2 linked regions of the Notamacropus eugenii genome follow. The protein of the gene in region 1 binds, or shares a complex with, the protein of each later gene. Links are inferred from orthologs where the notes say so. Each region holds a gene or a part of one and is shown on either strand. Other genes may lie near its edges.

The links.
Region 2: the proteins of ZDHHC9 (region 1) and GOLGA7 are in contact, whole or in part, in a cryo-EM structure (PDB 8HF3), measured with the Homo sapiens proteins. The link is inferred for Notamacropus eugenii from reciprocal best matches to the Homo sapiens genes ZDHHC9 and GOLGA7. Residues at the interface, in NP_001008223.1 of Homo sapiens: Phe78, Ala81, Arg85, Ile94, Pro95, Leu98, Asp100, Glu101, Phe104, Ile105, Phe129, Gln130, Ile131, Asn132, Ile146, Pro149, Pro150, Arg182, Tyr183, Leu186, Tyr274, Lys281, Cys284, Glu285, Leu287, Cys288, Gly289, Pro290, Leu291, Pro292; in NP_001002296.1 of Homo sapiens: Lys11, Phe13, Gln15, Tyr18, Ser19, Ser20, Gly21, Thr22, Ala57, Glu58, Leu60, Ser64, Tyr65, Gly68, Cys72, Ala75, Tyr76, Thr77, Phe79, Leu80, Tyr86, Glu87, Leu90, Ile116, Arg118, Gly119, Arg121, Val122.

Annotation. Positions count from the first base shown.
Region 1 is NC_092879.1:51,564,963-51,571,846, forward strand, and holds the start of ZDHHC9 (palmitoyltransferase ZDHHC9), read right to left. Parts: upstream 3,007-6,884; 5' UTR 2,795-3,006; intron 772-2,794; 5' UTR 627-771; coding exon 460-626; intron 1-459. UniProt on the Homo sapiens protein: Palmitoyltransferase that catalyzes the addition of palmitate onto various protein substrates, such as ADRB2, GSDMD, HRAS, NRAS and CGAS. The ZDHHC9-GOLGA7 complex is a palmitoyltransferase specific for HRAS and NRAS.
Region 2 is NC_092872.1:619,250,509-619,257,600, forward strand, and holds the start of GOLGA7 (golgin subfamily A member 7), read right to left. Parts: upstream 3,009-7,092; 5' UTR 2,853-3,008; intron 2,616-2,852; 5' UTR 2,585-2,615; coding exon 2,474-2,584; intron 1-2,473. UniProt on the Homo sapiens protein: May be involved in protein transport from Golgi to cell surface. The ZDHHC9-GOLGA7 complex is a palmitoyltransferase specific for HRAS and NRAS.

The sequences.
Region 1 (6,884 bases):
GGAGGGGTTGGTCTTTTGTGAGGAGGGAAGGGGCAGAGAGAAAGGACCAAGCAGGAAAGAAGAGCTAGAACTTGGGGTGGGGGTGGGGAGGATAAAACATGAGGAAAAGAGACATCTGGGAAAGGGACCAAAGGACAAGGAATGAGTTGCTGAACAAAGAGTCACCCAAGTCAAATGATACATTTCACCTACGTGCTAGGGTGAACCCAGATCTAGTACTATGGGAGCTGGCACCAGACAGGCTTAGTTGCTCGATTGGGTTTTGTTTCTCACAAAAACAAGCAGTGGAAAACAAGATCCTTCCCTTCCCCCAACCCCTACCATGGTTCCAAGATCTATTCCAAGGGCCAAAGAACACAGTTCCTACAATGAAGACCCCAGAAAAAGTGTTTTTTCCCTGCCCCAATGTTGCACTGTTACCAACTGGAATTAGGCAAGTCTGCCCTGAGGGGAACTCACTCAAAAGCAAAGAAGAGGGTGCAAGTCCCCAGGATGAGGAAGAGAGTCAAGTAGAAGATCCCCTTCTGCCGGGCCATCATGACACGTCCATCGCAGCAGAAGGTGTTCCTGCCTGGGAGCTTCTCCCACTTTCGAGTCACCTTCTTCCTCACCACCATCACAGACATGGCTGCAATACACCTCCTAAGCTTGCCTTCAGTCACAGGAGAAATGTGATTTGACTCAAGTCCAGGCTCAGAACCACAACTCTGGTGGCACTGGTGGCTGCTGCTTCTGTTGAGCCAAACATCATCAAAAATCTGACTTTCAACCCTAAGAAAAAGTGAAAAATGAAAACAAAAATGAGATAATCCCAATGCCCTTTCCCCAAAAGGCAGTACTAATAAGTGAGGGGGACGGACATAATGGTTTGCCCCTAATCTGTATCTGCCAAAAGATAGCAGGACAGTTTCAGGTGATTTGAACAGTGCCTTACAGCATGGAATCTGTAGCAAGAGCCCTGGCTTTGGAGTCAAAGGGTTCTGAGCCCAAATTTAACATCAACTTCTCTGAGTATCGGTTTCTTCATGTTCAGAATGAACATGAGGATGATACTTCTGCTAACTACCCCACAGATCTATTGCTGGGCTCAGTGGAGAATACATGTGAAAGCACTTCGGAAAATCTTTCTTAAAATGAGTTGTTATCCTTCTGTCTTCTACCTCTGTCCCCAATTACTGATGATCATAAGGAATCATAGCTTCATTTTACAGATGACAAAACTGAGGCCTGGAGGTTAAATGACTTGGCCAGATCACACAAGAAATTGGTTGTAAAGTGAGCACTAGGCACTGGGTTTCCCCGTTCCCAGGTGTTTGCTCTTTCCACCCAATCTTGTTATTTTCGAACCATCTATACAAAGCCTGGGAGAAAATACTAGAGAGTTTGTCCTTCAAGGGACCAAGATCCTGTTCTTTCACCTTCTTTCTATTTACTACACAAACATGACTCACTTGAGGGGATAAGTCACTCTCTGGCATGGATAGGAATTTCTGGACACGGCCACATGATGCATACACAATGTATTTGCACAAACCAGATTTGCCCTAACCAAACATTGTCTAAGCTCCCTCTGGGTCCCAGAAACTGAGAGTCTTGATGGTTCTTATGGGATCTGAATGAAACCACGTTCCTGAAGAAGGACCTCTAGGTAGAGGGCACTGACTCACTAAGGTGGGAGAGAGAGGGTGGGGGAGGGCTTGGAGGTAGGAAGGAGCAAAGATGGCAGCAGCAGCAGCAGCAGCAGCTGCTACGAAATGGGCAAGGTGCTATGTGGGACAGTCGGGAGTGGCCCATCTCGATTCCCTGGGGCCTAAGCGCGCTCCCGAGCCGAACCTCCCCCCCTCCAACATCACCACCCTCTCCTCCCGGCCCACCCTCGGCAGCCCAGCCCGCCCCTCGGAGGTACCGAGCATCGCAGCCGCCGCCGCCACCCCCGCCACATGCTGGGAAGAGGAGAGGGAGGGAGCCAGGGAAGGAGCCAGGGAGAGCGGGCGGCGGGCGGGAAGGCTGCCGAGGAGAAACAACCCACAGGAGGCCGCCGCCTCCGCTGCCGCCGCCGCGGGGCTGGCCCCGCTCCAGCAGGCGCTCACAGCTCCAGGCCATGGTCGAAGGGGCGATGCCCTAGGGTACAGGGGGGCAGCAAGGGGGAGACGGGCTGCGCTGTACCGGCGGGGAACAGGGACACCACGGGGAAGCAAGAGGCTGCCCAGTGGCGTCGAGCAGAACAAAGCTCCGAAGCCCGAGGAGAAGAAATGGACAGCGAGCGGCGGCCGCCCGCCCCGAGGCCCAGCCGCCTCCGGCGCGAGCGCCCTCCTCCCGCACCCCGCACCCCGCACCCCCACCCGCAAGAGCGCCCCCTCGAGTGAGAGACGAGGCGAGGAGGGGACGCCCCCCAAACTGCGCGCGCGCACACCACTGAGCCCGCGTAGCCCCCCACCCGCCCCTCCTGCCAGCCGGCTGGCGCGCGGACACACACACGCGCGCGCACACATATACATGCACATACATACACACGCACATATACACACACATACACACACATAACCCGTGCGCCCCGGGAAGCCCCACCACGTGCCGCCACGGCCACGGCCACAGTCACAGCCACAGCCCCCCAGCGGGTCAGGTCCCGGGCTCCGCGGAGCCGCTGCCGAGCATCCGGGACAGGCTGTCCCCAAGCCGGCCAGCCGACCGACCGGCCAGCCCGCTCAGAGTGGGGGGGGAGGGAGGGAAGGAGGGAGCGGGAAGCATCGGTACCGCGGGAGCCAGCCACAGCCAAGCACGACCCCCTGCTTACCTGGCGACCGGGACTGCGGTGGGAAAGGTGGCGTTCTCCTCCGGGAGGGAGCGAACGATCTCAGCAGCAGGCAGGGGGATAGGTGGTGGCTCCTCCGCCCCGCCCCGAGCCCCGGGCTGCCGCCGCCTCCGCCTCCGCCTCCTCCTCCTCCGGGAGGGGGCCGGGGGGGAGGGGGGGGATGGACCTTTGCCGTCGGGAGCCACGGCCAGCTGCGGCAGCAGTCCACCGCTGGAGGAATGGAAAGCTCCTCACGTCAGCCGGCAGCTCCAGCGGCTGCCCGCCTGCCATTGGCCGGCCCCCTCTGGGCGCCTACGCCCCCGCCCCCCTGCCCCGGATTCCTATTAGTTAATAGGCATGCCACTCGACGGCGCCTCCTCCTCCCTCCTCGCTCCCCCCGCCCCCTTCCCCCTCCCAGAGCCAGTTTGCCCTTCGGGTCCTAGTGCCAATGGGCGTGAAGTGCCACTTTGTCACCGAACCCACGCAGTGGGGGGCAGCTGGCGACGGGCAGGATGGGACTGGGACCACCAACGGTACCGAAGCACCTTAGAGAGCAGTGAATGGAACACTGAACGACCGCTGCCCCCACCAATCAGGCCTCTACTCCTCCCCACTCCTCCCTGCTCCTAGGCCTCCTCCTTGTTTTGAAAATGATACCCAGGAATTTCACTTTCCAAAACACAAGAAAATCATCTCAATTCCTTTCTCAAGCTAAGCTCTCTCAACCTTGAGAAGCACCATAGTATTGCAGGAAATAGCTATGGATTTTAAGTTAGAGGTCCCAGTTTGAATGTCCATCCGTCTTACGTACTAGCTGTATGACACTAGACAAGTCACACCCTGAAATTTCTTTATCTGAAAAATGGAGGGAATTGGAAAGCATCGTGGTGCAGAGGAAAGAGCAACAGATTTACAAGCAGAGACCTCTAATCAATCCCAGTTCTTCCAATTACTACCAGTGTGACCTTGACCAAGTCACTTGCCCAGTTTCTTCATCTTTAACAAAAATAGATTGGACAGGATGACCTCAAAAATCCCTGCCAGTTCTACTTCTATGATCCTGTGACTAACTGGACTAGATGACCTTTCAGAGGTCCCTTTCAGAGCTAAATTCTATGACTTCCCATGTCCTGTTCAAAAGATCCTACACTCTGCTTCCCATTCTCCAACCTGCCCTCCCCCTCCCCATGTATATCTAAAGCTTTCCAAAAGGAGCAAGATAAGCTACTGGAAAAAAGAGTTCGCAGGCCAGTAAGTGCATGATCACCACTGCCAAAGCTAAGGCTCCTAGCTGTTTTTTTCTGGGGGTGTTAGCTTAATTGCAGGTAATCAAAATCCAAGTAAGCCAGAAAGATTTTCAGCCCATGCTCAAAAGCACCATGCCTTCTGCCACTTGTATAGAGCACTGAACATCAAAGTAAATCCACCAAAGGAGAGGGAATGGGACAGTGTAAAAGCAGGCTCTTTGGGAGCTATGAAGGGACTAGAACATCTGTGCTACCAACCTGGGGGAAGGGGGTCGTAAAAAGAGTTCCACTGATTTGAATGTAGTGTACTGTGTTCCATATAATACATCCTGGCAGATGTCTAACATACTGACCATGGACAGTTACTTCCGTTTGGTGTCCTCCCCTTATCCCAATGTAATCCCCATGAAGCGGGAGGGGCACAGATCTGAGCACTTCATAAATGTTGTGTTAAGGAAGTCTACAGTGTTGCTTTCGAGATTACATATAAGTTCAAGAATTATTCATTAATAGAATTTGAAGGAAACTTAGAAACCATCGAGTCCAATGCCCCAGTTTTACTGTAGAGGAAACTGAGGCTGAAAGAAGTGTCTTGTCTAAGTCAAACCAGTAGCAAGTGACAGGACCGTTAATTGAACCCATGTCTCTCTGACTTCTTCTGACTCCAAGTCCAGAGCTCTTACTACTGAACCACACTGCCTATTTCTTCTTGATAGTATTTTCTATACATCCCCCATCTGGGATGACAAAGAGCCATATAATGATAAGTATATCTGGTTCCTTCATGAAAGCTTTCATTCAAGAATTTCCAAAAGACAAAGAACTTACTAAATAGTTCTGCCTTCTGGGAGAGGATGGACAGAACTGTATTACTGAAGGAGGAGCTCAGCATTTATGAAGCAGAGTTTCCTGAGTTGTTCCCCAAGCCAGGAAAGTTTTCAACCTTCATCCCTGCTTCCTAGGCTCTCTGACTTCCTTCAGGTCTCAGCCAAAGTCCCACCTTCTGCCAGAAGCCTTTCCTAGCCCTCCTGAAGCTTAATGCCCTCCCGTTGAGATCACCCCAATTTCTCCTATTTCCTCTTTGCATAGAGTTGTTTTCATGTTGTCTCTCACATCAGATTGTGAGCTCCTTGAGACCAGGGACCATTTGTTTTGGGGTTTTTTTTGCCTTTCCTCATTGTTTCCAACACTTAGCTCAGTGCCTGATGTGTGGTAGGTCTTTAATAAATGCTAGATGACTAACTGACCAATATCTGATGCCTCATGGAACTCCTACAGATTATAATCATTTGTTTATTCCTTACAACACTCTGTGACCAGTGTTATTTCAGGGTGCAATTCTCACTTTCTAGTAGAGGGTACTACCTACACAACCTCTTAAGACTGGAGGGAAGAACAAATTCCCTCAGGCCCCACCCCAATGTTCTCCAAGGCAATTCTACCCAGAAACCTTGGGTAAAGACCCAGCTTTCCTTACTATATGCCTAAGCATAGGTCCTTCCCAACATCTGGAATGCCTTCTTCCTTTCCTCCCCCCCCCATGAATTCCCTCCAAGTTTCTAGAGTCCAGCTTCCTTTATGAAGCTTTCCCTAATCCCCCTGTACTATGGACCTTCTCCTTCAGACCTTCCACAACACTTTGTGACTTTCTTTCCACTTAACAATTATTATTGTGGATTATAGTTATTTGCATTTCAAGAATTGCCAAAATTGAATAAAAGAAGATAAGGCTGCATCTCCTTTGGGAAACTATGTAACACTTTCAAAAATCCCAAGCCCCTCTCTAATTCAAAAGTCAGTGGTTTTTAGCACAAATAGTTCTCCAGTGATGCCAGATGGCTCATTCACAAAATATCCTAATCCCAGAAGAATTGAAATTGCAGGTGATGCCAAAAGACAATGGAAAGATGCATGGTGAGTGTCATAGCATAGTACAGAGAATGGTCTACACTTGAGAAGTTGCATAAAATAAATTATCTATACTGAAGATGAGGTAAGCAATTAAACCCAGTAAACCTGGGTTCCATAAAACCAAGAACACAAACTACCCATGACAGAATTATCTGAGCAGGATTTCGGGGAAACTGGGTGGTGCTGTCCTAGAGTCAAGACAAACCTCAGTTCAAATTTGGCTTCTAACACTTTACTAGGTGCGTAATTTGGGGCAAGTCACTTCTGTTTGTCCCAGATTTATAACTGTATAAGGGGAATCAGAAAGTATTTAGCACTAGTTATCATCATCATCATTATACTAGAAAAAAAGTTTTTCATAAAATATTTCTAACAACATGATATCCAAAATACATAGTGAACTCACACAAATATAAAAGACCAAGAATCATTCCCCAACAGATGAGATCAAAAAATATGAACATTTTTCAAATGAAGGCATGCTATCAACAACCATATTAAAAATGTTCCAAATCACCAATAATAAAAGATATACAAAATAAAACAGCTTTGAGATTTCACCTCATGCAAATCAAATTGGCAAAATGACTAAAGTAGCCATTGTTGGAGGGACTATAGGAAGATCCAAAGCATGAATACACTGTTGATGGAGTGATGTAATTGGTCTTACTCTTGGGGAAAATCATTCGGACTTGAGAAAAGCTGATCCCCTTTGATCTTTTGGTCTCACTATTGGACATAACTCCCCAAGAAGGTCAAAGACATCCACTTAGTATATAGGTCCCCATATACCAAAATATTCATAGTAGAGTTTGTGATAGCAAAAACTCTGAAAACAAAATTACTACCCATTAACTGAGAAAGACTTGACCAAACTGTAGTTTGTGAATATAACGTTGTAATGAGGGGAAAAACATTCAACTTGGAGTCAGAGG
Region 2 (7,092 bases), on another chromosome or scaffold:
TACAAGCTGTTACAGTAGTCTTGGTGAGTGGCAATGAGGGGGCACTGAAATGGAAAAGAAATGATGGTGTAAAAGACTTTTTCTAAGAAGAGAATGATCTTATGAACTGAGTGATATGGGGAAAGAGTAGAGTTATTGAAATCAAAGCTAAAACCAAAAACAAAAATCCAGCCATAGCAAAATATCATCAGGAAACAGCTGTCCTCTATGATAAAATACTGGCCAAGCTGAAATAATGTTGATCAACTGGCAACCTTCAGTGAGGCAGATGGAAGACTAAATGCTATCTCTAAGCCCATCTTGAGCCCAGATGAAAGGGAGCCCTGAATGAGGTCACTGACATAATTACAGGATCATAGCTTAAAAGGAACTTTGAGGTCATTTAGTCTAATCCCCCCCCCCCAAGTGAAGTGACTTGTTAAAAGGGCATAGGGGCAGAGAAAAAGCTAAATTTGAATCCAGATCCTCTGTTCCCAAATTCAGTATTTTCCTGTCTGCTAAGATATTTTCCAACTAGGAAACTGAAGAGAAAGTTTTGTGGGAAACATGATGAATTTAGCTTTGGGCATGCTAAGTTAGAAATGCTAGCAGAAAATCCAGATGCAGATGTCAGCCAGAAAGGAGATCGAGGGGGTTTGTACCATGGGAGAAAAGTCAAGAATTGGATCTAGTCTGGGGAGTCATCTGTAGACAAGTGGACAAGCCATGAGAGACACAGCAAGGAAAGGGAACAGAGCAGTCAGGGGCAGAGTCTTGGGCAACGGAGGAAGAGAACCTCAAGGAGTCGAAGGCTCAGTGAGAGGTAAGAGAACCACAAGAGTGCAGGGTCTCAGAAGCCAAGCAGGAGAGGATTTTAGGGAGAGTATAATAAAGGCTGCAAAGAAGCCAAAGACAACGAAGACAGAGGAAAGGCCACTGTGCACTTATAAAGACAATGATGACCTCAGAAAGGGCAGCTTCAAGCCATGTTTTGGGGGCAGTGGGGATGTAAATCAGATTGCTAAATTTCTAATTCTATTCTGTAGGAGATTTTGAAAGATAATTTCACCTAATTCATATGGATTTTACCATTTAAAATGCTACGCTACTTTGTAAAACTTGCTGTAACAATAGCCAACTCTTTATCTTACTTAATGCCTCTCCAAAAAGCCAACAGAACTGATTTCAAGGCAGGTGCTTTGGAAAAGGCTATGGTAGAAAGGCCAACCAGTTATGCCTAGCTGAGGCACTCTTTATTTCACTGATGACTGATATTTTGCTGACTCACAGTTTCAGGATTAATAACAAAACTCAATATCTATTTGGCATTTCACAAACAACGGATTAATCCATAAAACATCTCTATAAAGTGGTTTGATTTTCATTTTCAAGATGAGAAAACTGAGATGCAGAGCACCGATCTGCCTCAGGCTTTAAAGGAAAGGGAGGGAAGGACCAATCTTATAGTAAGGTACTGAAGATTTCTACTCCTATTCTGAATGCCTTGCCTATAGAGCAACCCAACTGAGTCCAAGATGGTTTTATGTCACTATTAAAGGAAATTTCTCAAGTACACACTCATCTACACCTACAGATTCCAAGATCAACATTCTTTAGCCCCACACCCACCACCTACCTAAGCACCTCAGAGTAAACTGTCAACAACAGAAAAACAAGCAACTAAACCAGATCCCATCTAACCACTAACTAACTGACCTCAGTATAGGAAACAGTTTGTGTATGCACACACACACACAAATAATATTCTCTTAATAAATCACACTTAGTCCGTGGCTTACGTATAGTATCTACAATTTTATACCACGTATAATCTTTATGCTATGTGTAATAGCAGTATTTACATACAGTATGTCTATACTATATATACAGCACAGTGTATATGCAGAATATGTATGTATTATAAATATTATTCATAAGTACTACTAGAGCAGTATTTACACAGAAGCCATTAACTAAATATTGTTTATTGATGGACTATTATATCTGTATACACACACTAGATACAGTATATATTACACATAAATACTACCAATCGTACATACACATGCATACATACATACATACACTACTCCGTATATCTGGAAAAAGGGGGAAAATATTTCAGTGTTTCACTTCCATAATGCATTAAAAAAAGCCTGCCCCTGGGTGGCAGGTGGGTTACACAGGTAGCAGCACACGGGCATTCATTTCCTGGCCACTCAAACAGGGCGGTGGGATGCCAGGCTCGCTCCCGAGTTAGCAAAGGGCCCAGGACCACTGACAACGAGCGTGGAGCTTCCTTCCCCCGGCCCCCAAAGCCGCCCGCTGCTGCTGCTGCTGGGCCAGCCTGCTCTCCGCCAGCACCCCTCCTCCGGACCCTGCCTCGATTTCCCCATCTGCCGGTCCCAGAGAAGAGCCACGGCGCACCCTCCCCCCTCCCGGCCACAGGAAGGAAGCTGTCAGGGGCCGGCGCGGGTCCCTCGGGGCTCCGTACCCGGTTCTCCAACTCGGCGGGGAACTTGGTCTGGAACTGGCACCGGGTGCCGCTGCTGTAGTCCCGCTGGATGAAGACCTTGCCGGACACGGGCGCCTGCTGCGGCCTCATGGCGGGCTGGGCCGGGCCGGGCCGCGCAGCGCTGCGGGGGACACGACAACACGGTTCCGCTCAAGACCCCGGCGCCGGCCGCGCCCGGAGAGGCCGGGCCCGGGAGCCGGCCCGTGACAGCGGCCCCGGAGCACCCGCCAGCCCCATGCTCCCCGGGCCCGCCGCCCCGCGCGCTGCCCCCCGCACCCCCCGGGCCCGCGCCCCGACCACCCCCAGCCCGGCCCAGCCCACCCTCGCCACCCCCCTCCCCGGCCTGGGAAACACCGACCCGCCTTCTCCGTGGCCCTCCAGCGGCTGTCGCGCGGCCTCGTCCCTCACTTACGGCCTGCTGCAAACAAGCCTCCTGTCTCTCCTCCCCACCCTAAACCTTCCCCCCTCCCTGACCTCTCCTACCCCACCCACTCCGGCCTGCCGTAAAGTGAAACGGCCGCGATAGTGCGCAAAGAGGCTGGGCGGTACTTTCCGCCAATGGCCCCGCCCCGGACTCGGGCGCGGTCTGCGGAGAGGGGAGAGGTGGGGAGGGATGCGGAGGGGGAGGGGCTGAGCCCGGGGCGGGAGGGACTGGCATGTGGGGCACCGCCTCGTGCTTTCCCTCCTCTTCGCGGCTTCGGGCCTCGTGGCGGGAGCGCAGGATCAGGGGAGCGAAGCTCCGAGTCCGGTTCTGCCTTGTTTACCGCCGGGTACACCCATTAGAGCGGAAGCTCCCTGAAGGAAGGGACGGTTTTCCCTTAGCAGCGTGGCTGGCACCTGGGGCGCTTAATAAATGTTTATTGAGTTGGAAATGTGACCCAGCGACTCCGGGTCTTGCTTTCCTTGTCAGTAAAACCGGAGGGTTTACCCAGATGATTCCTTTGGGTCTATTTTTTAAAATTACATTACACTTTATTTTCAAATAAAGACACCTTTCTCTCCTTCCCTTTCATGCGATGCCTTCCACCCCTAACACCGAGAAAGCAAGGAATACAAAACCCGGGTCCCGAGGACGGACAGTCCTGCGCAGCTCAGCTGCCCCTTCCCAGGGCCGTCCCAGCCCCCGAGTCCCTCTGTCAGCGTGACCTGCCGGTCAGGGAGGATTCACTGGGTCCGGGCCCCGCACCAGGCGCTCCGCAGCGGCGCTGACGCTGGACAGCACCCGCAGAGCGGCACCCCCAGAGCGGCAGCCGCAGAGCGGCACCCCCACAGCGGCACCCCCACAGCGGCACCCCCACAGCGGCACCCCCAGAGCGGCACCCCCAGAGCGGCACCCGCAGAGCGGCACCCCCAGAGCGGCACCCCCAGAGCGGCACCCCCAGAGCGGCAGCCGCAGAGCGGCACCCCCACAGCGGCACCCCCACAGCGGCACCCCCACAGCGGCACCCCCAGAGCGGCACCCCCAGAGCGGCACCCGCAGAGCGGCACCCCCAGAGCGGCACCCCCAGAGCGGCACCCGCAGAGCGGCAGCCGCAGAGCGGCACCCCCAGAGCGGCACCCCCAGAGCGGCAGCCGCAGCCCCCGCCAGTCGGAGGTGACCGCGGAGGAGAGGGGCTGGCGGAGGGAGGAGCGGCAGCCCCTCGTGGGGGAGACCGGGGCGAGAGCCTTCCGCCGGGGATTCCAACGTCCTGGCGTTGGAAGGCTCTGGGCGCTCAATGAAACAGCAGCTCCAGGGCTCCGTGGACTTGTTCTGAGGGGACTGCACTTATAGCTTAGTGATGGCACAGACACCCCCAGCCCCACCTCCAGCATCAAGGACACGCGCTGTAACAAGATGGGGAAAGGGTCATCCAATGAACGCCTTGCCAAGTTGAATGTTTCTTAAAAAACAAACTCTGCGAGACAAGTTCAGTTTCTTACGTAATCTTGTTCTTTGTATATCAAAACCCTTGAGTTTGTTGATGATTGTTAAATAGATAATAGGAAATGGCCTGGACCTCTCTTTCATTGGTGTGGGGAACTCCCAGAGCATGAAAACATTCTCCACCAGTTCAGGTCAACACTATTTTTGTTTTCTGGCAATATATATGCTTAGAATATCGCCTAGAGCAGAGGGGTGAAATCCTAGGGCCGGCTGGCCCCGCTGGGCCAGGATACTTGTTGAGCCAGATTAAAATGGCATTGGGAAATCCTTCAAATGAAATACAATAAAACATAGTATGAGTATGTGGTTAATGGGCAAGGTGCAGGGATCCAGATGTAAGGTTTAGGGGTCCCACTTCCATCTGAGCTTGATGCCATAGACCTAGGGCTCTGAGAGTTGAGACCTGTTCTAAATCACGTGGCCAGTATTGATCTTAGGAAGGACTTGATCCCAGGACTTCCTAACTCCAAGGATGACTTTCTAGCTATTGTATCACACTAACTCTTGAAGTTCGTCATTAATAAAAAAAAGAAAACCACCAATAAGTAGAGCATTTGGTTCTAAACAAAACTTAAAATGAAAATTTAAAAATAGCAGATCATGCCTCTTGGGAACATTCTGATCGCACCTCGCATACCACTTTGTTCTGCACCTCTATAATATACTTAGTATGTAATAAGGCATTTCTTAGCCATAACCTGCATCTTGAAACCCCAGATCTACCCCTGCATAGACAGGCATAATGGATAGAATGATGCATTTGGAGTCAGGAAGCCCTGGATTCAAATCCTATCTCAGATTCTTACTGTGTGACCCCTCAGGCAAATCTTTTAACTTCTCTGGACCTCCATTTCTCATCTATAAAATGTTGGGGTTGGACTAGGTGGTTTCTGAGGTCCCTTTCAGTTCTAGATATAAATCTAATCCTGTCACTGTGTGTATGTTGACTCTATGGTTCCTTTTGCTCCAATCCTGGGTTTCCTGGGAAGGTCAGAATCTGGCTCTTGTTAATAATAATAATAGTTAACATTTGTATAGTACTTCTTAGCTGTCCTAAGTACTCTTCAATTATTATCTCCTTTGATCCTCAGTACCACCCTGGGAGATAAGCACTATTATTATCTTTATTTTAGGCTTAAGAAGACAGAGGGATAATAAGATTAAGTGACTTGCCCAGGGTCCCACAGCTAGTAAGTATTTGAATTAGTTCTTCCTAATTCTAGGGCCCGCACCCTATCTACTTTACACCTAACTACCCCCAAACTACTTATTTTTTCTCTTTGGGTTCCTTTAGTCCCCTGCAATGAAAGCATTTAAAAATAGGACAGGCCTGTGAGAAGCAGAAGCCTAGTCAGCAAGGGAATAGTGGTAGCTCCGCAATATTAAATGACCAACTAGTCAAGTCCTTGCTTTGTGTACTACTATTACAAGTCTCGGACCCAGGCCCAGTCCATTCCAACTCACTTCTCCTCTCTGGGGACTGTGCTCCCTTGCTTTGGCATTTGCTGTTGATTAGCCCATTTCCCAACTGCTGTCCTACCTTCCCTTACCTGAGTTCCAAAGTAATCTTCTTTTCTATAGCTCCTGGCTTGGCCCAGGAACTCTCTGACATCCATCTATTTATTAGCTGCTGCCTTTACTTCTGCACCTGCTGCTTTCAATTTCTGTCCCCTCATGGCTGTCCAGCCCTGAAGTCTCTTCTCCCTCTTCTTCCATATGCTCTTTAGTTCTGTGGCAGAGGAAAGGATTATTCTGTTTTCAGAACTGTTTGTTACATTGTGTTGGTGTCTTATCCCTATGGATCTCTATGGAAGTTTCATGGGGACAGGATATTGTCTTATCTAAAGTTCTTATTTCCTTAGTAGTTAAAACAATTGTAAGTAGCTGGTATTTAATACATTTTTGTCTTATTGTATTTTCTATGTACCTTTAATACCTCTTTAGGTAGAGATGAAACCCTGGAACCCTCCAGTCATCACCCAAATACTACCCTCCAAATTCACCCTTATAGGACACATTCTCATACAAATATATACTTAGTCTATGGAAAGCCTATACAAGCAGGGTTGTGCTGGAACCAGACTAGTGAGAGCTGATTGTTAAAATTTCACTATAAGTACACCTGGAAAATCTGGAACACTACAAAGCAGGTTTACTTTATCATTTTGTTGACTGTTTCTAGACCTAAGAAAGTGATCAAAAAAATGTTGATAAACCAGATTAAACTTGAAAGTGTGCCATGCACACATTTCTGCCCCCCCCAGAGACAGTTATCAAATATTTACCAGCACATAACTGAATGTAGATGCTAAGCAGCACATTCTAGACTGACAGTTATTGTGTTATCAGTTTGTTGATAGATGAATTTATACTTGAGAATACTACATTTGATTGTTTGTTTCCAAGTTAATGATATGAATTTAAAGTGCAATAACAGTGATGCAAAAATGCCAAAGTCACTCACAACTCTGGAAATGCAGGCCATTGGGATCTTTTTAAGGCATTGTATCTTGACTGAATGGGTAAATACACTACTAGACTGTATTGCACTGTTAACTTGGCTGATAAAGTGGCTCCCCATCATTATCAGCTACTGCTGGGCTTAACCAGGAAGGTCATTTAGCAACTGCCAGACCAGGCTAAGTAGGTTGCTTGGACACTGATCAGTAACTCC